4 linked regions of the Mytilus edulis genome follow. The protein of the gene in region 1 purifies or fractionates together with the protein of each later gene. This does not show direct contact. Links are inferred from orthologs where the notes say so. Each region holds a gene or a part of one and is shown on either strand. Other genes may lie near its edges.

Region 1 (7,843 bases):
ACAAAAAATCATTCAGACAGACAGAAATTTAAAAATATTTTGGTTGAATATATAGTAGAAAAGTCAAAATTTCTCTTTCGGTCAGACAAAACATTAAACAGTTTAACACAGACTGGCATAGTTTCCTGACTATCCCATTTACAAATCGAAATTGCTAATTTTATGCCAAAATTTTTGTTTCCATTCCCTCACAAAATTAAGCAAATGACATCTTTGTGTCGGACCCAATTTCAGGCAAATTAGTCTACTGTTTGAGGCTGTCAAAATGAAAATTGCTGTTGGTCCTGGTTACCTTGGCTTCCAAATCAACTATGTAGTTCAAAAGCTGCTTAACAAAGGGAAAAATGGCTGATTTTTTTTCTCATAAATTTTCATTATCTAACTTTAGTTTGCCTCAACCAAATATTATGAAACTTATTATACACAATGCTTATAACCACAAAACTCAGATCCAGTTTGAATTATGGATGCGTCACTTTTACCGTTTTAGAGTTATGCCCTTTACAAATCTTTGTTTGCCTCAACCATATGGTAATAAACTTATACAGAATGCTTATTTAAACAAAATACAGATCAAGTTTGAAATTTGGTTGTGTCACTTTACTGTTCCTCAGTTATGTCCCTTTATTACTTTATTTGATATGCAAGTCAGGGCATCATCTGTGTCTGGACACATTACAAGTCTATTTCTTGATAGTCGCTTTATTTTTTTTTACCCCTTTCAGATCAAACATCTCGTGATAAATCCTTAAACCAACAATTTTTTTAAATCTTGGCTTAAGTTGTTGTAATTGAAATAAAGAAAGAGATATTTCTTTTATTTAGATATCCAATGGGTCATTTCAGAGTTGTCAGACTTTTCTTTTAGATCATGCAGTGGATATAGAAAAATAAAAAGATGTATGATTGCCAGTGAGACAACTCTTCATTAGAGATCAAATGATGTAATAGCTAGAATTTTTTCGTCAGGTCATGAATGACCTTACAATGTAAAAAATAAGCAAAAACTTTAACCTCCAGGTAAACCTAAAAACTTTTAAATTATATAAGGAAGGTCCATACAAACTGACAATCAAACGATATTATCTATCATACATGTATCGAGTGGAAAACAAATATCATATTAATAACTTTGGCACAGATGTATTCCAGAAGAAAATGGTAGGTTAACCATTGCTTTATAGCTAGCTTTACCTCCCACTTGTATGAGAGATCTTCATACTAAGTTCCCATATATTAACAAAATTGGTTGATTAACCCAAACAGACACAACAAGGAATTAGTCAATTATTAGCAACCCTGAGGTTTTGTAAATATCTAGTGTTGACTGATGTTTGTAGGTGGTACTTTCAATTTGTAAATATTCAGAGAAATTCATACCACATTGCAAGCTGTGAAAGGCCCAACATGACAAATGTATAGCAGTTCTAACAAGAACACTAAATTTTTTATAAGCTGCCAACTAAAAGTTCTAATTTATTCTTGCAACATCGAGGCAGGTGACTGCCAAACGGTGTCCATGCATTTTCTCATGAACTGTTCTACCAAAGCTTCTCACATCTTGTATGTTGTAATGATTCTGATGACAAAATGGATGTCAAGTTTGATATTGACGATTTTTACTTTCACCGTTCAGGAGTTGTTTCTTGACAGATTGAAAAATGGTGTTTGCAGTCATGATCATGCTTTAACTCATGAACCATTCAATCAAAGCTTTTAAAATTTTAATATATGTTGTAACTTGTGAAAAATGAAGGTCAAGTTGAAGTCAAATATTGATGATTGTACATGTCACTTTTACCATTCAGGAGTTTTGATTCTTGTGATATTGAAAAATGCCAGGACACAAATAAAATATGTTAAAACATCCAGTTTTCTGTTAATCTGAAATTCATTGTTTACTTCTGTTCATTATAAGAAGTCTATTTTACAAAACACTTATTTCATGCCCCTGCAGTAGCGGAGGAGCATTATGTTTTCTCCTTGTCCCAAAGTTGGTTTGCGATCTTTCACTTTAGTTTGCCTCAACCACAGTGGTTTCCGTTAAAGTTTGGCAATGGTAGCCAATATATACAGTTAAATACAAGAAAAGCAGAAACTTTAGGAGCCCTGGCACACTAAATTGTAGGGGCCATTGGCAAGTGGGCCCCTGTTAATTCATAGATGCCAACTATTACGATTTTTCCGTAGTTTTTCCGATTTTGCGATATAAACTACGCTATTACGGTCAAAGTCGAATAGTTACGGATTCCCAATCACCGACGTTCAATTTTGTAAAACGCGGATTTTTATCATTACTTTTCCGTCCGGGTCCAGTATTTAGGAAACGCCAATCTAATGCTTCCGGTTTCTCGGGAGTTATCAACCTATTGTTGGGTAACTAATTGACTTCCGAAGAGTCAAACTTGCATTTTATTAAGTAGCTTTTTCCCTTTCTCTACTTCTCCTTGACAAAACAAAAATGTTTGAGTCGAGAGCATCTGAACAATTAATGAATGGAATACATACTACAGACAACATGTTAAATGACAAATTTTAGTGTACATCACTTTGCAACCACTCGTCAGTAATTTTGATTGGTAAATGCACGTTTAATATAAATGATTACTGAAAACTTTTCAAAAATACGGAAAATTTGATAGTTTGTTACTGATTGTGTCAAAAGGGGGTTGGCATCTATGCTAATTTCAAACCCTGCTCAACCATATGTTATATAATTTTATATGCAGTGCTTATTACAGATTCAACCACAAAACACAGATCAAATTTGAATTTTGGTGTCATCATTTTAACCATTCTAAAGGTATATATCCCTTTGCAAATGGAAAAATTGCTGAATTTTTTTCGTTTTTGTTCTCCAACTTTAGTTTGCCTCTACCAAATGTTATGAAACTTATACACTATGCTTATTACCACAAAACACAGATCAAGTTTGCATTTTGGTGGTGTCACTTTCAACCATTCTAGAGTTATGCTCCTGTACAAATGGAGAATTCTGCGTTCTCTTACTTTAGTTTGCCTCAACCAAATGCTACGAAACATATACACAATGCTTTTAACTTTAAAATGCACATCAAGTTTGAATTTGATGATGTCACTTTTACTGTTCTAGAGTTATGCTTGTTTATAATATTGATTGAAACATTGCTGATTTTTTGTTTACCTTTTCTATCTTGAGTTCACCTCTACCAAATGTTATGAAACTTATTCACAACAGGGCGCCATTACACGCCAAAACCACCTGTAGGAAACACTAATACTATTACCTCAAAACTCGGGGGCGGATGCAGGAATTTTCGAAAGGGGGTGTGCTAACCCAGGGCAAAGGGGGGGTGCAAAACATATGTCCCGATACAAATGCATTGATCGGCAAAAATAAAGGGGGGGTGCGCACCCCCGGAACCCCCCCCCCCCCCCCCCTGGATCCGCCTCTGAAACTCAGATCAAGTACACATTTGGGTAGCATCACTTTTATTTTTCTTCAGTTATTTCCCTTTGTAACTTTATAAGATAAGTGGGGGGATCTTCTGTGTCCCATGGACACAATTCCCATTTATTTAATTGCAGATTTGAAAAGCCAGGGGGAGAAACTTAATTTGCCAATAGAAAAGCAAAAGAATCCATTTCGGAAAAAATAATTGTTAAATGATCCCATTTTGTTGAATGTGAATTTCAATAATTAATTTGCAGATTTTTGGCAACTGAAATTTCTATTTAGCTATAAATTGTTACCTCCAACAGGCGCATGTGAAATAATTGAACTGATTTTTGACAATAAAAAAAATGCACACCCAATGTCCCCTTTTTGTAGGACTAAACTGGAATTACACATGTAATTTTTTGTTACCCCAAAAAGTTTTAAAGAATGTACATTGTATCTTCAAATTTTTCCTATTATTGCATTGCATAGGGGGTAAGAACAATTTAGAATTGTTTTATAACTGGTTTTGATGGAATATTTTTCGAATTGCTTCTGAAAAATCCACAATTAATTTTTTTCAATTAGAATTTTTGATATACAATTATACATAATAGAAAGCTCTAAAAAATTTGGAGCTAGAAATATATGAAGTACTGAATTGGAGTTAAATAAAATATATTTACTTTTTTTTCTTAAACAAAATCCAAAGGAATCCTTTCTAAAAAGGAGAAAGCAGACCACCAAGGCCAAATAAAAAAAGTTGTGTTTCCTTTTACCCTACCTTCCCTATTATCAAAAATAAAAAATAGCCTACCTTAAAGTTTTTTGGGTCATTTTTCAATGAGCACTATTAAAGTCAGAATGTCCATCCCATACACTCAATGAAACAAAAATGGTAAAATAAAAAAAAATCTGTACCTACATGTACCCTCCTTTTTTTAGCCCAACCATAATAAAGAAAAGAAAAACACTTCTAGAGATCCCCATTAGATTAATTCAGAGTTTTGTGTTTCATTTGCTGTTTGCTTATATTAAATATATTTATAGAAACTTTTTTTTAGGTACTGGTACTTATACATACCTCCTTTTAGTTCATAAAATTCAAATCGCATGAGCTGTTGATTATCAAAATATTGTAAATAATTATTTATTCGTTATCTAACAAAATATTCAAATTTGTTATAAATACCTGATAAGTGTTATTCAAACTATTTCTAAACAAAATGTTTACATTTTATTTATATATCAGAGCATCTTAACAGCTTTCCTAAGTAAATTAACTGGAAAAATGGTTATTACATAATGTCACACACCCTTAGGGAGCCTCTATATCTCCTCTAGACTTCTCATTACATATTGACCAGACAACATTTTACATCCAGATAATGGATGTAAGAAGGAATCTGATTGGCTGATAACAGTCAGTAACCTCAGGCACATATCATCTTTGATCCAATTATGGCTCCTCTGTCACTGTGTTGTCAGGTGCTTTGCTGTAAATTTTACAGGGACATAAAGTGACCTGAAGTGTCCTTAATTTAACACCTTCATTGCCCTGTATTGGACCATTATTTGTTATGGATTATTTTCTTGTGCAAAAAGGGCTCATTAAGGATGTGAATAATTTGACTGTCTACCATGGAGGTCATTTGAGTTCACAGCACCATAATATGGTCTTACTTCCTTTATGATGGATTTTAAGTGAAGGCCTGGGATCCTTGCAATAGTTTGTTTATTTGTTATTATTGTTGATATTTTATAGAGTTTATTGATATTTACACTGTGCAATACTACTTCTTTGGTGTTCTCAACAAATCAAGATATTATATAAAACATATCTGATGCATTTTGTGTTCATATGGATATATCAGGACTGGCATGTTTTAAAAGTTGCATATAATTAGTGAAAAAAATTGTTTGTCTGCATCAGGAAAACATTGACATACTTTGACAGGACAAGTAAGGATATAAAATTTAATTCTAATGGTTCATGAGGAAAGTGGTGAAAACAAATTATTGGTCATGGATAGTGCCATGGATGATCGTATGTTGTCAAACCGTGGGCACTGGCTAAGACAGGAACAGGAGTACCATTTACAAGCCATGCGTCTCAAACGTTAGTATACAAAACTTCTCTATTTCATTACTATTCTTTTTGTGTTAATGGTTTATACATCACTTGTAGGGTATGCATGTTAGATGTACAGTCATACCTATGTAGGTGTCCTTGACCAAGATTTTGAATTAAATAGCCTCTGTAAAGTGACCAATATCTTTTCTGAATGGGACCATACAAATTTTTAATGGGAGATCAAAAAGTGTAAATTTCTCATTATATTATCAGTTCTGATCTTTTGTATTTAGGAAATCAGGTATCTAGATTAAGATAAATAGTTACCTCATCTTAGGGGATAAGTAAGGAGAACTTACTTATCTATTAATCATCATACATAATGACAAAAACAAATACATAAACAACAACACCCTTCAATCCATTCAAGATTGACAGCAGACACAAGTTGTCAAATTCTTGTATATGACAGAAAACTCCCCTGACAAATATTTATTTCATCTGATTGACCCCAGGGATTTTAATTGTAACATAGAATATAAGTTGCCCTGTGGGGGACCTCCTCAGTCAGCTGATTCATGTACCAGCTGTGTATATATGACTGGTAACATACCACACATACTTTAGTTGGGATGCTCTGATGTCAGATAGTACATCAATACTTTTTTGCAATAGATATAATGTTATCCAGGCATTATTTTTGTTTTCTTGTCTAGACAATCAATTTTAAACCTTAAAATTTAACTTTTACTGTTCATATTTCAATTTGAATGTTTCAGTTCATTAGTCAAGAGTAAGACAATACACATGTTTAAAGAATGTCAGTCTACAATACTTGAATAATCTGGCTTCTTTTGAACATCAGTAATGTAAAGTAAGGAGACACTGAATTCAAAATACAAATCTGAATGACCTTTTTAAACTGCTGAAGATTTAAATTTGACCATTGAACTGAAATAACTACCTACAATTGGCCATAGATGAAGTAATGAATGCTTGGTCAATCTTTATCAAAGGAGCCATGAAATTTCCCATGTGAAAACATTGTATTTTCTTTGTGATTTCACTTAAATTATGTACAAAGTAGTTAAATTAAGTTTATAATTTGTATTGTGGGAAACTCAGTGCTCATTCATGTGTAGCCAGCTGTAAACAATATGATGGAAGACATCTGAATATGTATGGCATGTAAGGAATGTAGAACCAGGAAATATCCTGTCTTTATTAGAGATAAACAAGAATGTAATTTTGATATATTATGTAAACTCAAGAATTTAAGGTCAGGTATTGTTATTAAGACCTTTTCTGTCTTTATACCTAATAAAGCTGCAGACTGGTTGACAAATAAATAATGCAGTTAGATTGACTTTTTAATTGCAAGATCATAAAGAGCCTATAGTATAATCCCTTCATTATCTTGCACTGTACAAACATTGCTGGACAAATTATTGATTTTGAATAAACAATCACATGCAAAACTTTATGTCCACTACATGATCTGGAAATGGTTTTAAAAGTTCCTCTTTTGGACTAAATAGATCAAAACATAATAAAATGTGAATGTTTTCAAAAACTCTTACCTATTTTTTTTCTGATTGAATAAATGACATGATCAGGACCATCAAATTTTGTATTTTTAGCACCAGAAATTCTCTTCGAACATCATATACATTTTCCTAAGTTTTTATAAATCTTCAAAATACTCTACATTATATAATGATTATATTAATTGCCAAGTTCAAAAACCTTGACTACTGGAGTATAATACCTTTCATTTGGGAACCATTAGTCTAGAGGTACATTGTATTACATTGATAGTAAAAGTAAAAAGCACAGAACTAGCTCCAATTGATTCTTATCAAGAAAACATGAAGCAAAGTTTTACGCATTTATTACCAGCTGTTTATTACCTCATATTGCCCATAACTTTTATTTTACACACTTTTATTTCGATATCATTTCAGACCCAATATATATATATAAGTTTACTTTTTGCAAAATGTGACTTGAAAGGAGAGTTGTCTCATTGGCACTCATGCCACATCTTATATCTATATATGTCTTTATATTTTTCCTTAGAATAATAGATCAGTCTCAAACATAAGTTTGATCAACTGAATCAAATGCTCTGACTGCACTTTATGAAATAAATTGAATCTTTTTTTGGATTTAATCTTGCCGGTCTCTTAGATCAGTCTACTTTTATTGGATAAGTGTTTGACTTATTTTGCATGTATATGTATTGTTTTTAATGGTGGTTTAAGTGTACAAATGTCATTACCCCCTAAGACATCTGTTGGTAGTTGTGTTCATGATTGTAGTTTATATTAAGTAAAACCAGATATTGAACT
Region 2 (7,625 bases), on another chromosome or scaffold:
AAGTACTGTTAGTGACAATTGCATGGTACAAATTTTAGTTGATTTCTGAATTAATTTTGATTAAATTTTTTGAATTCTGAATTAATTTTGATTACATTGTTTGAATTCTGAAATTTTTTATACTTGTTGTAGTTTTATAGATTAGGTCCGAGTATACAGTTATCATCCTTTGATTTTCGTCCTCCACGGATCTAGACCCTAGTGTGGACAGTATGTTACTTGCCAATTTTTTTATACCCCTTCCAAATTTATTTCTTCACGTTTTATGCCTCAAATAGCAAGTAGTAAGGGGGATAAAATTACACTGTATAAACATTTGGGTCATAATTTGAAAGATAAGTAGTGATTTGGTCCATCTTAAAATGGTTAAAAATTAGCATTTCTGAAGCTGCCAAAAGATTTCAAGACCCCCTTAACATAAAATTGTCCACATTTTGAGTTAGAGCTGATGAAGTTTTCTATAATTTTGATATAATTTGTCTCAAAAGTAGTACAACAGTATTAACACACTAAATATATCTACGAAATAACTGTGGTCTAGACCATTTATTAAAAAAATTAAAAATTAAATAAAACCTTCGTCTCACGTTCTGTAAATGATTTTTTTTTTAAATCACAAAATCTGGAATATTATATCATGTTGAACATAGTTCATACAGAGTATATTTATTTCTTACTCAAAACTAAAGCTGCAGAACTTTGCTTCTTGTATGATGTTACAGTTACAGGTTAACATTGATTTACTGTTGATTTAAAAAAAAAAGAGAAAAGGATTTGATTTACAGTAGTTTGTAAGAAAACAGACATTTTTACATATATATCATTCCAACTCTGCCACATTATTCAGACTCCAAGCTATCAAGCAGTCTTAAGTCTTTCTCCTTAGCCATGTAGATGATGCTGTGTGGCTGGCAAACAGTCTGCACGGTTAGCCACTAGTCCGATGCCCCACACTAGTAAAATTTAATTTGGACTAGTGATCATGAGTTTTTGCAAAACTTGGATCAATAAGAAATATGTCAGAATATTGGTCTTCGGACTAGTTGTTGAAAAAGTTTTTGGTGCAGACTGGGCAAAGAAGTCACACATACCAATTTTGAAGTCTGTGGTCATGATCAAATGAGGTTTTGTATAATCAGAATATCTCTACTCAAGGTGAGAGCTAGATCAATTGAAGCAGAACCAAATACAATGTATGATAAAATAATGATTAAAAAGTCACCATGGCCTTTTGTAATGCTTCTGTCTTCTAGGGGAGCATAAATACTTCATTGCAATTTTGATAAAAGGGCACTGTTGAACAGTATACTTCACTGAACTGGTTAAATTAAACATTTTTAAAATTTTCACTACAAATCATCCATGTATATAAGTATTCAGAAGGGTCATGGTCATTATCTATGAACCACAGACTTTTGGGGTTATGAACCCCCCTTTTTTCTATTTAGTGGAGTGAAGCACATATAAAAAATATTTATTATACATAAGTATGGTTAAAAGCATGAATATAAATTGAGCAAAGAAATATCAAAGAAAATTTGCTAAAAATTTCAAACACACAAAAAAGGGGGTAGCCCATCCCACCCAAGCACTTATTCTATCTTTCAGGCATCTTGTTTTTATAACAACATATACATGTAAGCAGTGCTGTAGTTATCTTTCAGTAAAATTTGTTTTGACTACATGGAACAGTACTACAAATAATGCAAACTTTATCCCCAAGTTTTTTGTAGCAAATCAGTACTTCATAAATAAATAAATAATACTTGGATGTTTATATACAATACAGATAACACATTGGGAACCTTGTAATCTGTTTAAAATTAGACTTGCTCAAATGGCATGTTGGTTAAAAATAAAAGGATTAATAAATGTATACATGTATACTAAAGATACCAATTAAAATGATCTCTAATTTATCAATTCGTCAGCCATAAGATTATTCACATTATACCATGATAAGGAACAGTTAGTGTATGGCTTCATAGATAATGCACTTCTATATTTGCATGTAATCAAAAAGATATGAGAACATCCCATTTTTAGTATTAGCTAAACAAACATTGAAATAACAAAAACAAATATTCAATTAACAGGCTATTATTTGAACTTGGAATTATTTTTAATTATGCAATTTGCTTGATTTCTTGTTATTGAAATTTTTAATAAATTCCATGTTCCAAATAAAATCAAACATTAATATTAGGGCCTAGGCCAAATAAAAAAGTATGTGTGGTTCCAGTTACATCTAAAAAAAAAGGTTAAGGTAGGTAGGTAGGGATTTTTTTTTTTATTTTATGTTTTTTTTTTACATTTACTCTATGGGAGCAACATTCTGACTTTAACAGTGCTTAATGAAAAATGACAATAAAATCTTTAGGGTAGGCTATTTTTAAGCCAAAAAGGATGGACGGTAGGGTAACTGGAACCACACATATATTTTTATTTGGCCCTATGAAATTATATGATTATCAAGGAAAAGAAAAATGTAAAAAAATTATAAGAATTATTTGCCTATAATATACTTCATATATATACAATGTAGCTAGAATTAGAAAGTGAAAAATTCTGCAACTTAAAACATAAACCTTTAATTATAGAAAATTTGTGTATTATAGAAAATATTTATAACAACATTATTTAACGTATTAAAACATTTCTATGTCTATTCTTATATGATACAGAATTTGGTACAGCTATGATTCTTATTAATATGTGTAAATAAAAACTGTAATTTCTATTTATCATCAAAAGTCATAAAATGACTATAAAATGTTCTGCTTCATCAAATATTTTTCTTCTTCTAAAATCTTCATATATAAACAATGATAAAGGACACAATGAAATAACTTGGGCTTCATCTTCTAAAATATCCTTTAAATACATCTCAAGACTCTCTCCTTTGAAAGCAATTTTTCAAATTAATTTCCCTTCATATACATCAATGATCATGTGCATATTGGAGTCCAAAAATTACACCTGACTTTTATGATTAAATCTTATCATGTGATTGGTATGGTGATCTATTACAGTAGCACTGATATGCATTTAATTACCACAGTTACAGATCATTAATTAAACCAATACACAGGTGTCAGATTCAAGCTTTAGACAGCAACAACCAATTAGGACAGAACAAAATTGAAATAAAGAAGTTTTTTTAAATCAGAATACTGGGTCCATGTATCACTATTTTTCAGGGGTTTTTCTTTCAAAATATAAAGCACACAGAGTTGGCACCTTAAGATGTTTTATATGTTTAACAAACAAAGTGTACTACATGTAGCTCAGCAAAAATGGAGCAATGGCTTACACCCAACTGCAAGCTATAAAGGGACCAAAAAAAAATACTAATGTAAAACAAAGACTAAAAAGGCTTCAGTTTATTGTAAGACTTTTCATAAACATTATTTTGGGAAGGCCTCACAGCAAATATAAATAATGTATCCAGGGTAACATGACATTAGACTTGATCATGTACATGTTGATTCTTTGGATATTTTTTTTGTAACTGGATGCCTAATGGTGCAATGGTTCGCAGCTAGGTCAAATATCAAAAATCATTTTTTTTTTTTTTTTTAATTCAAGATGTCAGGTCAAATTACATGTACAATACATCTGACATTGAATAAGGACATCAGGTATAATAAAGCAATCTTTGGAACCAAGGATTTGTATTACATGTACATAATTTTGTTGTGTGTACTTTACAAATCCTTGTTGGAACTGACACGCATAATAAATCATATATATGAATTTGATATAATAAGGCTTATAGCTTAATACAGTAGGGTGCATGCATTTAAGTGTAACAAAAAAAAGAAAATGACAAATGTCTGAAATGGGTTGCCACACTTGGCATATGACTTGCAACAGAGATCATCCACAAGGAAAATACTTGTACAAATTAAAAAATGTCAGCTTCTATCTAGTCCAAATAATTATGACGTCTGGCAAGGCTATTTTTTTTTTCTGAGAAGAAGGCGTCCCAGAAAAAAAATAAAATAGTCTTACAAGACGTCATAATTATTTGGACTAGCTGTTATATATAAATCAGTTCATTTGGTATGCTAGGAAAAAGTCAAAGCTGTTGAACCTGGGACTGTTATGCTAACTAGTACAAATGTATAATAGTCTGAGGTAGAATGCAAATAACAGTTTTACACGGACTATTAAAATTGAGAATGGGGAAATTTGTGTCAAAGAGACAACCCCGACCAAATCACAGGCACTTGTTTCTATCCATTGGAAGACCCACTATCAACGTATATATCGTATATATACATTGATAGGGGTCTTCACATAGATGTTATTACATCTATGGTCTTCCAATGGATATCATGTACTGTAGACCAAATACTGAAATAGCGGAAAACTATAAACATCAAGAACCGATAGAAATCTCATTATATTTGATCAAAAAGACGAAAATTCATCTAAATATGAAAATTAATCTAGTTCCTATCTATAAAATATTGTAAGAATGTATACTTTTATATTTACTTGCCAGTATTGTTAGAAATTAATAAAATCTGTATTTTTCAAAAGTTGAAATGGCCGCTTCGTGTCAAAAAGTAACGGTGTGATCGATTGGATGATTAAAATGCATCTTGGACGTTGATTGGCTAATCAACTCGATACCAAGATGTCAGCCCCCATGTATTGTTGACAATTACTGAGTCAGTGCACGAAAGTGTAATTTACCTCAAAATACATTGTTTTAAAACATAAAAAAGAATTTGAAGCATAAATGTACGTTTGAAATAATATTCCAGCATATAAATTCATTGAGAAATCTTTTCTAAAAACCCAAAATATGGAAAGATGTCACATCTCAGCACATATTTTCATAATGTGTTATAGTAGTCTCAGATATATACCATATATATAATTTACTAACCCGAATAATTCAGTCGTTATATATCAGCTGATCTACGTAGGCTACATTAACCTCGTATGGGAGAAAATCGGACACGGGAAGGGCTTGAATTATTCGAGTTAATAATTTACCAGAAGTTAGTTATTGGTGCAAAATCATAGAGATCTTACACTTGTTTCCCTTTCTTCTTCGTTGAATACACAGTCAGACTCTTTTTGAGTGTATGAGGGGCCTTGGTGGCCGAGTGGTCTAAGTAGTTACAACTGTACTACTGTAATCACTAGCCAGTCAACATTGAGGTTGTGAGTTCAAATCCTTCTCTTGTGGATGCACTCGACTCCAATCTTTATATCTTAATTGACTAGGATTGTCAGTTTTCCTATCGAAGGTCGGTGGTTTTCTCTGGGCACTCCGGCTTCCTCCACCAATAAAAACTTATAGCCACGAAATAGCCTGAATGCAGTGCTTTAAAGTGGTGTTAAAACACCAAAAATCAATCAATTGAGTGTGTGACTCTTGCTCGTGAAGCTTTCCTCCTCATGATTATTAAATCCAGCAGCACTACATGCCAGTAGCTTCTTACAATATTTATCTACAAATTATAACAAAGAAACACTGTTATCAGGTAACGTTTTTTTTTATATCAAACAATTATTAAAAATGATTGGGTGTTTAATTCCGTCCTATATTTGTTGATATGTTGATAAATATACATTTTATTCAAAGTCTCATGCAAACAAGACTGGAACAGGAAGTAGATCTGAAAAAAAAAGTTAAAGATTTTGTTCTTTGTAGAATGAAAAATTCGTGAAATTTTCCTGATTTTTTGTTTTTTGTTTTTTATTAATTTTTTACCGAAATTGGGGACTTCATCCCCATATAATCATGATAATGAATCTGGTTTTTTTTTGCGCTTCAACAGATCATTCCAATAGATTTATTATTTGTTGGGTTGACTTAGCTTATTCTTGTTATTTACCCTGTATATATATACAAAGCAACACGTCAAGAGCATAGACTATCTGGCATTTGTTAGTCTTGTATGATTTGTTATTTCAGTTCATTTATATGTTTCAAGTTTAGTATGACATCCATTTTCACTGAAATAAAACACATTTTTATTGAGCCGGCCTCTATGTGCAAGATTTTCTTGCTACATGTAGGTTGAAGACCCATTGATATCCATCTGCTGTTATCTGCTCTTTGGTCAGGATGTTGTCTCTTAATGACACATTCCCCATTTCCATTCTCAATTTTATAGAAAATATATATATTAGACTAAGACAGACATAAAAAATAATATTAGTTTTACTTGAATTTAAAAAAACAGGACCCAACCAACAGTGCATATATATCTATTCAAAGACTAAAAATTACTTAACTTTTTTTCTGTAAAAGTCATTATCAAAACTGGAGAATGAATTATGCAATTTTTTCAATATTCAACTTGAAGCAGGAAAAACAGATCAATATTTATTATTTAATATCAGCTGTGACTCCTATTTTATGAAACTATTATGGAGACAATTGAATAAGCATTCGAAAACAAAATGCTGGATTCTAGTCAATTTAGCAAAAAATATCAGTTTGATTTAAAATATATATACATGTGTGTAGTAGATTGGCCAATTTTAATTCTTTCTTATATCATTATATATTCAATTGATATGCCTAGATATTGGCATAAATCCTGTGATTATTTATGGCCTTCTTGAAGTCTCATAATATGTGAAAAGACTTGTTCAATATTATTCCAAATCAAAATATCAGTACATTGAATAAGTAACTTAGGCAGTTTTCTTGGATATTTTTGGTAAATGTAATCCATTATTCTAAATGTTCAACTGAGTCCTAACTCGAATAATTCAAGCCCTTTCGGTGTCCGATTTTCTCCCACACGAGGGCTTGAACTCCTTATGATCATTGGCCGCGTCGCCTGCTATCTGTGAGAGATCTAGCCAATCAGCGGCGATCAGGATAATGAGTCTGCGCAACTCTCTTGTAATTGTCTTACCAAACATGTGTGTTCAATTAACACAAATCCGATAATAATTAATTTACATCAATTAACATCAGTTTACATCATTTAACATCAATTAACATCCGGAACTCCTCCTTCTTTAGCTGCCAATTTAAATCAAAATTCCCATATTGCAAAGCGGTGTGAAAATTCCGGTTGACGGTCATGATCAAGGAAGACGTTCAGGCGTTAATGTAGCCTTCGTAGATCAGCGGAATATAACGACTGAATTATTCGGGTTAACTGAGTCCAAGTTTTCTTGAGTGCAAAATTTGGCAAAGCCATGAAATCAAATATCAATGAAAAACAAATTTTTTCTTTTATCAACAAAAATTGGTGTCCACGAAAAAAAAGTATCCAGTCATGACAGTATCACATTTGTGTTGTCCTGACTTTCATATTGTGAAAACTTGTGTATTGATATATGAATATTAAAAGGATGAAAAAAAACTATTTGATATTTCTTTTGACCAAATCAGCAACAAATTGAAACCCTTCCAGAAAAAAGGTAAAAACACAGAAAAACAAAAACAACAAAAAATCATTGTCCTAACTTGTTAATGACATTATATTTATTGGGTTAAACCAGTCTTTTTACTAAAACAAATTAGATTCACAAAAAAGTCTTGACATGTTAATGAACTACAAATAATAAGGAAAGTCAGCTGTTTTAACAGTGAACATAAACAACAACTTTTCATATGTTGAAAAAACTATGATTGTTTC
Region 3 (7,906 bases), on another chromosome or scaffold:
TATATTCATGTATGGGACAATATAACAAATCAAATAAAATATAGGGGAAGTTCCTGTGGTCACCCCAACCCTCCTGTTTGAGAACTTGGAAACGGTTGAGATCCCCACACCAAAACAATATATATTCATGTATGGGCCAATATAACTAATTAAATGAAATATAGATGGAGTCCCTGGGGTCACCCTACCCCTCCTGTTTGAGAACTTGGAAACCAATGAGATCCCGACCCCTAAACCATATATATTCATGTATGGGACAATATAACAAATAAAATGAAATGTAGGGGAAGTCCCTAGGGTCACCCTACCCCCAGTGGCGGATCCAGAAATTTTCATAAGTGGGGGCACGCTTCAGTGATTCCCTATATAAGCAACCAATTTTTTTCCCAAAAAGGGGGGGCGGGCCCCCTGCCCCCCTAAATCCTCTTCCTACCCCTACCTGTTTGAGAACTTGAAAACCGTTGAGATCCCCACCCCTAAATTATATATATTCATATGTATGGGACAAAATAACAAATCATTTACATTTACTATGGGCAGGTCAGTCAGACCTCACCTTTGATCCCTGTTGTAGTGAACATTTGTCTGATTCGTGTCTCATAACTTTTGTACTATAGAACACAAACTCAGTTTTCTTTTCAGGGAAACCAGTCCATTCATACTATTACATGTTCATACTAAGTCAACTTGAACTTCTAGCAGTCAAATAAAACCAAGGTTAACTACCAAATAGAACAACTGCAATCATTGGGAACTTGTACCACTGCAGACTCACCATTAAAAAATATACATTGATATATGCATTGCTTTTGAAACCTTGATAACATATAAATTATTAGCCTTAATAAATAAATCATTAGATAAACATGAATGTACTATATATGAATGTTTAATGTTGAGGCAACATTGCCACAGTTTTCATAATTACGGTTGCCTTGGTTTTTGGTTAACTGCCTTCAGCGCTTACAGCGCTTTGATTGTATTTCATTAATGTAATATTGTGTAGTCCCTTCCTTTATGTTGTATCTTATAGGAAACAATGATAAATCTCTGTTGAGTGAAAAAAATGGTTTTCAACTTTCTTTTATGCATCATATTTGAGAAACAGCATAACCATCAACAACCAAATTACATAACTTCACAATGATTAGTTAACATTTGAATATATTCTATATATTGGATGCTCAAGTCAAAATTAAAAATTAATGGTAGGATTATAAAAAAAATCAACCAGTTATCAGACTAAATTATATTGGTTCATAGAAATAAATATAAACTATTTATCATATTGAATTAAAGATGTTCACACTATCTTTAACAGTGCAGTTAAAAGCAAAAATATAAGTAATATTTGGATGTATATGGTGTAATTGACAGAATGTACATTACCAAATAACCCAAACAATTCACTTACATTTAACATAAACAAAAATGATTATACATGAATACTTCAAGAATGCTTGTCAATAGATTGTGATGATGTTATATTGTGATCTGAACCATCTAAATACATTACTTCTCCATTTCATTGTAGTCCCAAAAGATCAAGAAAGTCAAGATCAAGGTCACGAACTCCAAGGAAAAGGTCAACATCCAGAAGTCCTAGCAGACATCGACATAAACACAAGAAAAATAAATATAGAGACTGATATATAATTAATTTATTTATATGCTTTGTTGTATGAACATACTGTCCACAAAATAAGGTATCAGTTATAAATGACTAATTGGGCATGTTAAGAAAACCTGGGTGTTACAATCAATCAGTTCTCAAGGAAAACATTGATAGTGAAATAATCTGAAGAAGAAATGTGACAATCATGTCATTTTAATGAAGAAAGTCTAAACCTTGACCTTGGTTTTTATGAGGATGAACATTTGTTGAATTAGTGATTTGTGTGCAATTAGTTGTCATTACAGAACAGTGTCAAATTTAAATATCTGTCATTAGATATATAAAACCAAACTGAAAACCTGTTATTTATCATAATTTGTAAATATGTACATCTTATAACATTTCTGGTCAACATTTGTATATACTCATTTATACCACACAACAATTATCATAAAAATTGACATCAATTTAAATATTAAATGATTTTGCAGCTTCTCATAGATTAGTAGCCTGTTTTACAAGATACTGAATTGAATATAAGTTACTTCAAAAATATTCTATTTGATTTGTAATAAGACTGCTTCTCATGATAAAATATAATGTTCAGAATATTGCTTAGAAATGGAAAATAGGCTTTATGTGCTTTAGCATTATCATAGAAAGAATTTACATGTATATGTATGCACTTCTGGAAATATTTATCGTGTATCCAGAGCTGCATCTTTGAATTTTTAAAATGCATTTATATTTCAAAGGAATTAGAAGTGCACTTTGTCAACTAAATTTTTCATATAATCAAAGGTTGTTTTGAATAAAACTACCATTGTCTAAATGTTTGTATTTCTTTAATTAAAATGGCATTTATTTTTGTGATATGTTTATGGGTTAGATTGTTTATCTTAAACTAACATAGTCCTATGGCATATCTTGTTACATGGCATCCACTGGCCATCATGTTTGTCAGCTCTTAAACTAACATAGTCCTATGGCATATCTTTTTACATGGCATCCACTGGCCATCATGTTTGTCAGCTCTTAAACTAACATAGTCCTATGGCATATCTTGTTACATGGCATCCACTGGCCATCATGTTTGTCAGCTCTTAAACTAACATAGTCCTATGGCATATCTTTTTACATGGCATCCACTGGCCATCATGTTTGTCAGCTCTTAAACTAACATAGTCCTATGGCATTTCTTGTTACATGGCATCCACTGGTCATCATGTTTGTCAGCTTGCAATAACAATTTCTGTAATATTCTCGTCTGACAATACCCTGCTAATAAAAACTAATCTTTAACATAACCATCCTCAAGTTTTCATGTGTCAGAACTATCATGTTACACACCAATATGGCTGATCTTACTTTAAATAGAACAGTAGTTATTGTGAACCAAATGAAACTTTTCAACAGAGTCATCTCCTATTGGTCAATACATTTTAACTTTTGTTAGTTTTATTGTCCCATTAAATTAATTCAATAGCTATTGTTCTTGTTCTCTCTGTAGTTTATTTACTGTGAACTTTAATAAAAAATGTGGTATGATTCAGAATGAGACAACTCTCCAACAGAGACCAAATAACAACTATAGGTTACCGTTTAACCTTCTTTACAATGAGAGCAACCCATATCGCATAGTCAGCTTTAAAAAGCCTAGAAATGACAAATGAAAAAAAAAATCAAAGAGAAAGTATTTTTGTACATATGACGTCACATGTACACCCTTTTGCATGCTGAATGAGATGGTGGTATTGTGTTTGATTCCAGTGAATTAGATTAATTGGACTTTCTAGATAACTATACATTGGAAAGATGGTCTTCTGGTTAGGAATTCAAATTGCTATAATTTTTGTGTACTCAATGTTTATTACAAAACACAGATCAATAGTATTTTTTTCTGAACAGCATCCATTTTAAATCATATTGAAGAGTAATGCCAAGATTTTTGTTGAGTCAGATTCTAAGGTATGACTGTGAAGAATGTAGTTATGTTTGATGGGAGTTTTCTCGTTAGAAGCTGTGAGAAATGTACATTTGTCAGTGAAAGATCGGAGTAAGACTTGATGGTTCAGATAGTAATTTAATAATGGCTACAAAATATACAATCGGTATTGCCGTAGCGACGTTACGTAACAAGTAAATGTCCCGAAGGTTTGTGTGTGACGTTCCCGGAATAATAGCAGATATTACAGTCAGGATGAAAAGTCATCCCACTTTGCAACAGCATCAATATCTTTCTGAAGGCTATTACAATCTTTTGTTAGATTTGATACTTTTGTATATGATGCTGACAGTCATTTCAAATATTCTGGTAGGTCATTTATATATATACCAGAAATAGAACAGGACCCAGAACCTGTGGGACACCAAAAGTAACTGAAGCAACATCTGATGACTCTTGTCAAGGACTACTGTTTGTGTGTGGTTTTGTAAAAAGGTAGAGATCCAGTTTTAGTTAACATAAAGCGATGTGGGACTTGGTCAAAAGCTATTTGGCAAAGTCCATAACTATTTTATACTCTGTTTAGGTGAGAATTTAGGAGCTAGTGATGATTTTTTTTTTAAAGTCAGGACGGTAGTTTTGAGTTAAAAAAAAAAGCAGGATAAGATACATTTTTTGTACTTTCCAAAAAGAAGATGGCAGGATGACAATTTATGTAAAAAAAAGATTAGCCTCATTAGGATAAACTCTAGTCCAATTAATTATGACGTTGAGGAAAGTTTTTTTCATCGATTTTAGCTTTGACACCTTGTAAGGCGTCAAAGAAAAAAATATAGCCTTTCAATGCATCATAATTGTTTGGACTAGATAAACCAAGAAATTGCATATTTACAATTCCTATAAAGACAAACTAATAATAAAAAAGCAGGATGGAAAAGAATGATATAAAAACGCAGGACAGAGATTACAACTAAAGAAAAAGGCAATACAATTTTTTTTAGTCAGCCACCTCATTAAAAATACAAGAGACATATAATCTGGGACTATTATACTATTAAAGATATATTGATAAAACAAATGTGTCTGAAGAAGTGTGAAAACAGAGGCACATGTGTCTGGTGAAAACTATCCACCAAAGTTCAAATGAGGTGAATTTTAAAATATCTCTATAAATAGTGATTTGACTTGCTATCTTGATCATTATAATTATTTTAATTGTTATAGGCAGAAAATATCAAATACGTAAATCACGCTAAGAATGATTGAACTATTTATAAATTGGCGCCAGTAACATTTTTTCAACTTTGACCTTTAAAATATCAACCAATCAAAAAAATTGACACAAAAAAATCGCGGGATTTCTTTCATCAAAACAATAACATGTGTATCAACAAACTGATCAACAAAAACATTATAAAGTAAATTGGAATAATAACTACACGTAACATGTCGCGGTCTTCGAAGTAAGTATTAGTTCCAGAATTTTTTAGGGCTGAAGAATTGCATATGCACCTGTTATGGATATGGTCAAATAAAATTATTTTTGGAGAAGTGGGAGGGGACAGCTACATCGCTTTTAGTTTTGTTCTACTAGATTGCTTTCCCCTTTATTCTTTTAAGTCACCTTTATTTAGAGTAATTATACATTGTAAATGGTGTTAGCCGTATCACTCCTCCAGATCTGCTAGTGTAAAGTCTACATGTCTATAGAGGAATCCTTTCGGGATAACTTATTTAATACCGACAGGACAATCTCCAACAACAAGGGATTAGCACTAGCAGTGCACCAAGAAGACTTATTATGGTGGAAGAAGGCAAGAATCCCAATTGCTTGCACTAACTTTAGTGTATTGTCAGATTATATTATTAATCATGTTAATATAAATGTTTTTGTATGTCATATGAATTCATACTAAAGCATGCTTTTTCAATGGAAATTGTGACGTCACAATGCCTTCTTAATAATAATAGTGCGAAAACCCATGAGATGAAGATCGATAGTGTAAAGTAAATACATCAGGGGTCCAGTTTACCACTGCTATTTCTCATTGTTTCTCATTCTGATTTGGGGGGGAGGGGGTGGCCTCTGTGGCAGAGTGGTCTAAGTTGTTACTTCTGTAATCACAAGCCAGTCATCACTGAGGTTGTGAGTTCGAACCCCGCTCGTGCAGGAGCACTCAAATCCAATCTTTATTGACTAGGATTGTCAACTTCCCTATCAAAGGAAAACTCCCACACCCGGAGGAGTCCTTCAGCTGGCTCCTAACATATATGTTACTAATTCAGTGATAACGGACGTCATACTAAATTCCGAATCATACACAAGAAACTAAAATTAAAAATCATACAAGACTAACAAAGGCATGGCTAGAGGCTCCTGACTTGGGATAGGCGCAAAAAAATGTGGCACGGTTAAACATGTTTTTTTAGATCTCAACCCTCCCCCTATACATTGTACCTCTAGCCAATGAAGAAAAAACAAACGCACAACAATACGCATAGTAAAACTCAGTTTAAGAGAGGTCAGAGTCTGATGTCAGAATAGGTATCAAAAGAAACTAAACAAAATGTCTATAATACATAAATTAACTAAGGACTATTAGCAGTTACTGACATGCCAGCTCCAGACCTCAATTAAACTGATTGAAAGATTATGTCTTCATCATATGAATATCAAGCACAACCCTTCTCGTTAGGGGTTCAGTATTATACCATCATAAAATATATGAGAAGAACATTATAATATACTAGAACACACCCGTGACTGAATTAAAGTATATAACTATGCGTAAGCCATATTTTAGTATTCGTATTGTCATCTGATAAAAGTCATGTCGATTATCAAAATGATTATAAGATATGCAGTTTTCTCTGCTTTCAAAATCTTTCTGTTTGAACCCGTCGACCTGGAGCTTATCAATTATTGGTAATATTAATTATTTGGAAAACAAAAGGTCCTGGAATGGAGTAGTTTTTAATCAACAGCATTATCCTATATTAGCTATATATAGTTATAAATAAAGTTGAATTCTTTTAAATTCAAATTCTTCAAATTGAAAACTGTACCTATATGCCTTATTTTAAGTCTAGATTTTCAGTATTTGTATTGTTATCTTAGAAAATCTTACTGATTAAAATACTACAATAGGGAACAATTTGACAATGATTGAATTTAGTAGTGTCAACCCTGTGATTATGACCCGTGTATATAGCAAAATCCTAAATACACTGTTTGGTAGTGTGCCTGTCAGATGTGAAATGTACAGATAAGGTAATAGGTAACAGGTGAATATACTATTGGTATCGGTATTGGATTCGACCCAGAACTTGTTAATTATGTGGAAAACAAAAGGGTCTGGAGTGGTGTAATTTTTAATCTACACCATTGTCCTATATTAGCTATATATAAAGTTGAATTCTTTGATTTGTTGTTTTTATCCCACGATGGCTGACAAATTGGACCTCGTTATTTTAGTATTATAGATACATTGTATATTGGAACAAAAAATAGACACATCAAAATTCAGAAACAGTTTTAATTTTCTGAAACATAAGTGCATTTGTTTTGATTATGTTCGAAAAAAAAAACTTTGTATGTATATATTTAAAAGCTATATAGTTAAGATAATTAAGTTTGAGATGACCCGAGTCAATGACTCTCAATTGTCGATACGAAGACTGACTCTTAACCAAGTAGAAGAAGAATTGATTAAAATTGCTTTTTACAAGTATACTATTTTTCAGAGAACAGGAAATTCCAGAAACAGTAGAAACCATAGTTACAGTTGACACCAATTTTGAGAATTTGAGCAACAAACTGAAGTTGAGTAAAGATGTTCGGAATAAAGCTTGGGACTACTGGCAGATTGTGGAGAAAGTAACTGCTGATCTAAAGGTAGTGATAACAGTGTGATGATGGGTGGGGTTTGGGATGGAAGGCACAGGCACTTGATTTATTTTGTAATGGATTGGTGAGAGGTCAGGAAGTTCAAATTTTGTGGTTATGTATTCAAAGTAAAATGCAATTGTATACATGATGGCCATGAAATAGTATGCACAACTGTATGAAGAGAAAAAAGCACAATTTCTCAAGTAACTATATATACATCCTTAGCTTTGATATTTATGACTTTAGCGTTCCCGGTTGAGATTAATTAAGAAAAGCACTTTAGATGCAGCACCTCTAAATGATATTTTTTCTTTCTTAGTGTACACTAAATGGACATTGAAACATCTTAATGAATAGTACAAGTTTGATATATGTATAGTCTTCATGTTACTTTAATTTCTTCTGTTGTAGGAAATATCAAAGTCTGACCTATTGGCATGCTGCATTTACCAGGCAG
Region 4 (7,975 bases), on another chromosome or scaffold:
TGTCTTTGTATGGATATTATTCCGATAAGAATGATGAGATAACAAGTTAAAATGAAGCTATAATATTCTGATATCGCAATATTTCGACACCTAAATGGTCATACATCCCATTGGTCCGACGTTTCGATCATTTAGGTTATACGCTAACGGGATTTTAACATAAGAAAGCCAAATAAAAGGTTCAATATTAGGATAACCTTGTCCTCCGTTTGAAGCGGTGAAACAAGATATAAAAAAGTAATACGTAGTGCCAAAGTAGCCCGAAGGTCATCACTAGCGTAATTTAAAATAAGTACAAACTTCTTTGTCAAGTGTTGTTTGATTAATAAGATATCTCAAGATACACGGCGGCCGACTAAAGTAAAATCAAACACAGTTTAACGTAACAATGAGTGGTCACATTTTCCTTGTGATGTTTTATATTAAAAATTAATTGTCAATTTGTTGATATAAATATACTAGTAGCACTTTACTCATTTTAGTAATGTTAGTTAGTACTCTTGTCATATCTGATTTAGTGATGTAAATGAAATTGCGGTATGATCCAGACTCAACATATTGCACTACAATAATAAAAAAAAATCCGCCCTATGGTTGTCTGATCTTGAAGCGGTTGGTAGGCTTTCAAACTAACAGGAGACCATACGCTTCCTGAATTTTAATGTACAGCTCATCATGGAACTTTCTAAACAATTAAAAATATGTCATATGTTATATTTTCCCCTTGCTTCAAATATTTTGCTTCGAATTATTTATATCAAATTTGCAGATATATGATTGTAAATACGTGCAATCAAATGATATGGAGGTATAATAAGATTTAGATAATGCAAGGGCGACTACAGATACATTTGTGTGACTTAATGGTTGATTTTCAAAGACTCCGAGAGAAAACGTTACGTAACATGCGTTACCGTTAAAATCAACCAACATTAATTAATACTATGATAGAAATATATTTCCCAACAGTAATACAGCATTCCTATAAAATTGTTTCATTTTTGTATTTGTTTTGACTCGATTTTTCTACTGGAAGTATCCGTGAATTGAAATTGCACCCATGACCTTTGACCTCGATTTAAAAAAAATGCACCATAATTTCTTTTGACGATCGACCGGGATATTTAGAAAGTACACATTCTTAGCTTTCCAGTGATATATAATTTAGCCGTGTGTTAGGTAGGTGCATTAAAAATGTGAATTTGGCTCTCATATCACTCGCCTATAGTGTATAGTGACACGTATATAAATTATTTGCATTTCTTTAAGATAATCAAATCATTGAAAAAGATCAGAGGCGGACTCGGCCATTTTTAAAAGGGTTGGGGCCACTGAGTGTTTATTACATAATACAAGAGATACGTTACCCCGAAATACTACAAGCACCAAAGTAAGATTCGTGCGTATTCGATCCGACGGACGTCAACTGTTTACCAGCGGCTCCTTGACCCTGTATAGATAATTACATCCTTAGTGGCACCGTTCAATGTCAACTTCGTAAACTTTGGTTTTGGAGAATCTAGGTCATCCTGCTTCGCCGACGCAATCTTTGCCAGCCAAATATCAGATATTGCGGGGAAGAGTGAGTGGCTATCTCTAATGGCTGAAATTATAGTTCTTACAGTAGCCAAAGCAATTCCAATACAGTTTATCTGCGACACATTTTTAAGTGGTTTTGTGTCAAAAAAATGTCCTAAAACTTTTGAATACGTGCATCCTCCAAAACAATAAATAAAAAAATAAATAAGTGCTAACAAATTCACTGCCCCGATGATCGATCCGTCAAGGCTTAATTATATTCTGCACCTTCCTGAACTTGCACTTTAAATTTATTTATAAACACATTTCCTACACCCGAGGTGCATAGTAGATGGAAGGCGATAGAAAATGGTATAAAAAACTGAAAAAAAATAGATGTATAAATATATATCTGTAAAAATTATTTAAACACGATTAAAAAGATAACAAAAACTACACGAAACCTATAATCAATTTAGTGGAATAAATGTATATGATTATATATGAAATATAAATGATAAGTGATGTGAACCTCAAAAAAAGTTTATCTGATTACAAGCAATCCTTGGTCTAATTTGTCTAACTTTCTCCATTTGCTTCATTAAGCATTGGTAAGGTCAGAATGTCCTTCTCATAGACTATATGTCTACCCACCTACCCTTTTTCAAAGATGTAATCGGAAACACACATATTTTGTGGGGGCCTAATAGAATATTACCCATTGTGGGATGGTGTATTTCCCATTATCCTTGGTTATGATATCCATTATGTTTATAAGATAAGGAATCTTCTAGAACAGTTGTTTTTGAAGTGGAACATTTGATTTCCAAGCCCGCAGAAATTGTTAAATGTTTAACTTTAACCATTTTGGATTAAAATTGTAGTTACTCTGAATCTCAGGCTTGTATTGTCCTGAATATGTGAAAAAGTTTTTTTTTAATCAGATAGGCATGGAGACTAAAATTCATTTGACGCTTTAATTTCTCTTTGTTGTAAAAAAAAAAAAAAAAGACTACCTACCTACCCACTTGTTCAACCTTTGGGTAGGTTTGGACAAATCATAACATTTTTAAGTGTAGCCTAATTAAACAGTGTACATAAATCAAAAAAAAATACAAACTATTATCTATATTTTAAAATCGGCAGTTCAAACAAACGAAACATAGGAAATTGATTGCTAAACTTGATATGAAATATTTGCTTAAAGTTATGAAATAAAATAACTTGGAAATTTACTCACACTGTCATTGACTGTAGTTTACCAAGTACTGCACGAAAATCGTAAATATAAAAAACGAATCACAATCTTTCTTCACATCTGAATCAATGAAACTGATAAGGGTACCACTGATAAGATTTTACACGTCATGTTTTAAACAGTGAAAGTACGTGTAAAATACGGGATTTGAAATATCAAAAATAAGTAATAATGACAAAAAATATTCAAGTTTGGTAACATCATGAAACGTACTGACATTTAACATGGTTAACTGTCAGGTTATGTAAGCGGCCATTTTTTTTTAGAAATAATGGGTTAATTGTAACACTTGTAAAACTGACAAAAAACAATGCCTAAATATGAAAAATACATAGTTCATAACCCTGTACCGATAATAATTGCAATGCTCGCCTTAAGCTATCACGTGCACTAGTCTTGTTCATCTTGACAAAATCTTTTAAAAACCTCTACGATAATATTTAAGTTTGACAATGTTTGAGTATTTTAGCTGACATATGATTTCTGATTACAAGTTTAATTGATTATACTTCATGTCGAAATGTATAATATTGTAATTAGTTATCTGTGTATTTCTCAGTCTTATGTGTTCTTGCATTTATTTGTACTGTTTTCTGTCATGTAAATTAATATTGTCATTTTAGCGGTATATTTAAAATTGCCATTAAGCGCGAGGTTTGGCTAGCCACAAAACCAGGATCAATCCCAAATTTGTTCTTAAAATACCAATTAAAAAATATGGAAGTTGTTATCTTATATTTCATATTTAGGCATTGTTTTTTTTCTTCCAAAACGTTCCGCACGGTCAGTTTAAAAAGTGTTACAATAAACCCATTAGTAAAGCCATCAAAGCTTTGGATGAAATTAATTCTAAAAATTGATACAGATACAGTTAAGTCGGCCTCATATCTTGACTTACATCTATAAATTGACAATGAGGGTCGGTTGAAAACAAAACTTTACGCATGCCAAGAAATCCTCGCTAAAAATTCCGGTCGACCTCCTACGGCAGTCATTAGTAGCTAAAGATTTGATTTCATTCAAGAAATTAATTTATGACCTTCATGTACGTGTCGCTTAGAACACGGCCATATACCAAATGGTCAATAATAATCATTCATGTAATTTGCTCTATGGGATATTTTCAGAATTTCAACAGAGGCAATTTCTTGGCATGACAAAAAAAGATGATTTCAGTTTTCCAATTGTGAACTTTCCATTTCTAAGTAGCAACATTCCAACAGCACCTGCATACGGGGTATATATCCCAATTTGCTTGTATCTCCTATCATGATTTTCTTGATAGAGGGTTGCTGCTCACAAGGAAGCTATTAAACCAAGAGTTCCAAATGGTGAAGTTGAAATCATCCCTTGGTAAATTTTACGGACGCCATCACGAGTTGGTTGACCGTTTTTGGAATAACCGTTTCAGCGAAATGATATCGGATATGTTCCTTACGTCGTAACTACAGTCCCCTTCCCTTTCATGAATGTGACCTACCGAATTAGACTATTTACCGGATTTGTTATCACATTAGCAACACGACGGGTGCCACATGTGGAGCAGGGTCTACAATGTGAATTGTTCATGGTTAGACAGAATAAAGACTGTTCTAAACGAATGCGGTATGACTATCTCTAATGTGTGGGAAACGATGATTGTGAAGTATTTCTATATGTTAAATTTCAACAGGGACTTTCTATACTAAAGTTAGTCAGGAACATATATACTATACATTAATATACTGTTTCCAGAGTTTGTAAAGAAAGTCCCTGCCGATTTCACTGATTACTCAGCTTTTGTGGACCACATGAAAACCGCGTCTGGTCAAGTTTTACCAATTTTGATCTTTGAACAAATATGTATTTTAAATGGTGAAGTGATTTTTTCCGTTAAAAAACCCCCCACAAAATCAAATATATACTTATAATTGAATACAACAGGGACCAAACAAAGTGGCAAAACCATTATCAATTAAGTGTTCGGTACACCCCCCTTTTTTCAAAAAATAATAAAAAGAAAATCACGAACTACAAAAAAAAAAAAAAAACGAAAGATGCAACACAGAACCCATATATCTTCATATTTTACTTTATAAGAATATGTCATGTTAATGAAGAAATTATACAAATATTTTTTTTAAAAGTTTGTAAAGGAAAATGTGTGTCGAAGGGAAACGAGCCGGGTCCCAGAAAAGTAACCAGTCTTGAATTATCGCCCCTGTGACCCAAATATTATTGAAATCGAGGCGGTTAAAAAGAATGAATACAATCAACGAAAGTGTGAAAGACAGGGCAAATAAAACGTAAAATAGAAGTAATATGTTACTTCAAGAACCCGTACAGGTATGAAAACTGACAATGCTATTAGATGACTAAATATACCTACCCAAAATAAGTCACATTTCCTGTAAATAAAGTGTATTAGAGCTAAAAAACAGAACAACTAAAAGTGACATGAATCCATATAAACAGGTGTCTTATTGTTATTCGTAGATTTCCTCCTTTTTAACGATTTGAATTAAATTCATTCAAAATTGAATTGGCACCAGCAGTGTTCACATGAAGAAATTTATTGGCATCAGAAATATATGATGAGCCTGACAGTCTCAACTGAACTTGAGACCATTGTCTTGATAGTTGGCAAGGACCAGTCTGCTCAGAAATTCAGCTTTTTTCTTCAAAATTCCCAATTGCAACATCCTATCAAATCACTCTCTCTACATGCAAATGAATCAGCAATTACACACATGATTAGTCTTCAAATATTATCAGTCTGGGGTAACCATGATCATGATAACAACATCAGAACATCAACAATTTTGATTTGTCCCTCTATAAAAAAAAGTCGCTGTCGCGTAAATTTGGCACCATGTTTTTTGTTAAAATTTTCTTGAATATAGACCGTGTTTACTAAAGAACATGTTTTTCAATTAGCGGAAGAAAAATCCTGTCCAAATAACCACTGCAGTCCTACCTTTTATTGTGTTTGCACTGTATAATCCTGACCTTCACATAATCCAGGATTATTTTGTATGGTGGAATCCGACATTGTTATTGCCGGAAGTGTTGCCGTGGAGTTCCACGTGCTCTCCATTTTCTTGTGTCTCTTGGAGCTTTTTGTCATCTTTATGTAAAAAGCACGGGAAATTGTATCATCAATGACAATGATCTTACTGGAGAATAACGAATGTTATGGAACAAGGGATCCTCATAGAAACCAAGATGGCAGTTTTACAATGTAAATAATCTTAAAAATTTGAAGGTCAGGATTATACAGTGCAAACACAATAAAAAGTAAGACCGTAGTGGATATTTGGACTGGATTTAACTTTCACTAAATAAAAACATCATCTTGAATAAACACGGCTGATATTTAAAAAAATTTTAACAAAAAAACATGGTGCCAATTTTACGTGATCGTGATGGCGACTATAGTCTAGTCCAAATATTCATGATATTTATGAGTCTTGCAATGCTATTTCAAATAATTACACAAGGCTATTTTGATTTTCTTCTGAGACATCTTTCTACGATGTCATAACGCTGAAGCCATTTTTAGTGTCTTCTGAAGGCTTATGGTGCCGACTTTAAAATCATTAATCCTCTGTATGCCGCATTCGTTTCTGTGTATTACAATTTCATAACAACTTCTGATTCCAGACATCGATTTTAATGCATGATTATGCATTTGAATCATTTAATTTGTAAATTAGGATTGAAAAACAATCACTATCGTAAATGTGTATCCTTTTATTTATGTTAATTATTAGATTTCATCTCTTCTACATGAACGTTATTTGTTTATTTGTAACCGGATGTTTTTACTGTAGATATTTGTAGTACGCATGCATGAATTTAGTATCGGGACAACTCGCCCTGTTTACATGTTCGCCCTTGAAGTTACGAATTTGCAATCTTGTAGACAAGAAGATTTTGTTTTTAATAAATAAAAGGGATCTATTTCTTATTAAATTGTTGTCTTTATTCATTGTTTTCCTTTGTCATGTGAATTAGATACCCTTTTACTTCAAATGGTTTGAATCTATTTATAAAATTATTCAAGACTCAGTTGACAAGAGCAGTCAGTACGTTGCTGTTGGGAGAATTTTTATTAAACTCTAAATGCTTATAGAATATGAAATATAATCTAAACTGAATGTACCTCCTTCTGAATAATTTATTGCAATATAAATATAAATCCCTTTTGATAAGAGAAATCTGACTTTTGTCAGAAATATTTTTTTCACATGTGCAAAGGTAATCACGTGTGGCGGCCATATTAGTTTGTTTACAAATTTGTTAAGAAGCCTCTAGAACCATGACCTAACCATAAATAGTCTTCCGAAAACTTAAACTTTATGCAATACTATTTTATCAATCATGATTATTTTCATAAATTTAAATTTGATTATTTAAAGAAATAAAATTATAACAATTACCATTTTAGATTAGAGATTCTCCACAGACATGCTTTGATCTATTTATAGCCAAATTAGTTTACCTGTGTGAAAATGTAAATAATGGATATTTAATTTGTTTACTAAACAAGTAAAGACAAACTATGGATGGGAGATAATAATTCACATAAATATTTCAGGACATTTGACTTATTTTAATAAATATAGGATTTAAAAACTGCAAGTGCAAACAAATTCAATCATTACATAATCAGCTGATAATTTTTTAAGCAACCATCGTGGTGATGTAACTGATAAAAAACACTCCATCAGTCCTCCAGCCCTTTCACATATTAAGCAATATATCTGCTTAATTATTATTGCAGAATATTCAATGAATATACATTCATCGTCTAATTGAATATATCGGGTAATCTGATATTTTTAGCTGACATTTTGGGTATCCGGTTGGCCGGAGTCTACTGTACTACCTTAAAGTAAAATTTTTAAGATTTTTAACTCAAAAGTGGGAAAATTCATTATATTTGGAACAACTTTTCTAAATGAGGGGTCAAATTAATAAAGAAGATATATAACATGTATAAGTTAAGAAACATCACAAAATTCTTTTGACATGTTTTGACCATTTAATACTTAATAGATGCATAGTTCTTGGGGAAAAGTTTCATCAAATAATATGAATATAAAGGTGCTCATTTTTTACAGTGGGTTGTAATGTTCTTCCAGTGAGGGTTACCCCTCATTTGGAGTGTTGTTCCCAACCTGTTAAAAGTCCATCTTTGTGCATAATTCAAAATTG

What was found.
Region 2: the proteins of dual specificity tyrosine-phosphorylation-regulated kinase 1B-like (region 1) and anaphase-promoting complex subunit 4-like purify together in Homo sapiens (affinity purification with mass spectrometry; 3 studies listed by BioGRID and IntAct, with this or other methods). This does not show direct contact. The link is inferred for Mytilus edulis from reciprocal best matches to the Homo sapiens genes DYRK1A and ANAPC4.
Region 3: the proteins of dual specificity tyrosine-phosphorylation-regulated kinase 1B-like (region 1) and retinoblastoma-associated protein-like purify together in Homo sapiens (affinity purification with mass spectrometry; 4 studies listed by BioGRID and IntAct, with this or other methods). This does not show direct contact. The link is inferred for Mytilus edulis from reciprocal best matches to the Homo sapiens genes DYRK1A and RB1.
Region 4: the proteins of dual specificity tyrosine-phosphorylation-regulated kinase 1B-like (region 1) and cell division cycle protein 27 homolog purify together in Homo sapiens (affinity purification with mass spectrometry; 3 studies listed by BioGRID and IntAct, with this or other methods). This does not show direct contact. The link is inferred for Mytilus edulis from reciprocal best matches to the Homo sapiens genes DYRK1A and CDC27.

The regions. Positions count from the first base shown.
Region 1 is NC_092348.1:79,381,990-79,389,832, forward strand, and holds the start of dual specificity tyrosine-phosphorylation-regulated kinase 1B-like, read left to right. Parts: upstream 1-4,826; 5' UTR 4,827-5,404; coding exon 5,405-5,537; intron 5,538-7,843. UniProt on the Homo sapiens protein: Dual-specificity kinase which possesses both serine/threonine and tyrosine kinase activities. Exhibits a substrate preference for proline at position P+1 and arginine at position P-3.
Region 2 is NC_092347.1:40,681,733-40,689,357, reverse strand, and holds the start of anaphase-promoting complex subunit 4-like, read left to right. Parts: upstream 1-4,612; 5' UTR 4,613-4,679; exon of another isoform or gene 4,680-4,752; intron 4,753-7,625. UniProt on the Homo sapiens protein: Component of the anaphase promoting complex/cyclosome (APC/C), a cell cycle-regulated E3 ubiquitin ligase that controls progression through mitosis and the G1 phase of the cell cycle.
Region 3 is NC_092346.1:87,036,152-87,044,057, reverse strand, and holds the start of retinoblastoma-associated protein-like, read left to right. Parts: upstream 1-4,901; 5' UTR 4,902-5,006; coding exon 5,007-5,023; intron 5,024-7,304; coding exon 7,305-7,455; intron 7,456-7,860; coding exon 7,861-7,906. Other genes in the region: U2 snRNP-associated SURP motif-containing protein-like, read left to right, coding at 1,535-1,649. UniProt on the Homo sapiens protein: Tumor suppressor that is a key regulator of the G1/S transition of the cell cycle. The hypophosphorylated form binds transcription regulators of the E2F family, preventing transcription of E2F-responsive genes.
Region 4 is NC_092357.1:17,614,550-17,622,524, reverse strand, and holds the start of cell division cycle protein 27 homolog, read left to right. Parts: upstream 1-4,971; 5' UTR 4,972-5,077; coding exon 5,078-5,101; intron 5,102-7,975. UniProt on the Homo sapiens protein: Component of the anaphase promoting complex/cyclosome (APC/C), a cell cycle-regulated E3 ubiquitin ligase that controls progression through mitosis and the G1 phase of the cell cycle.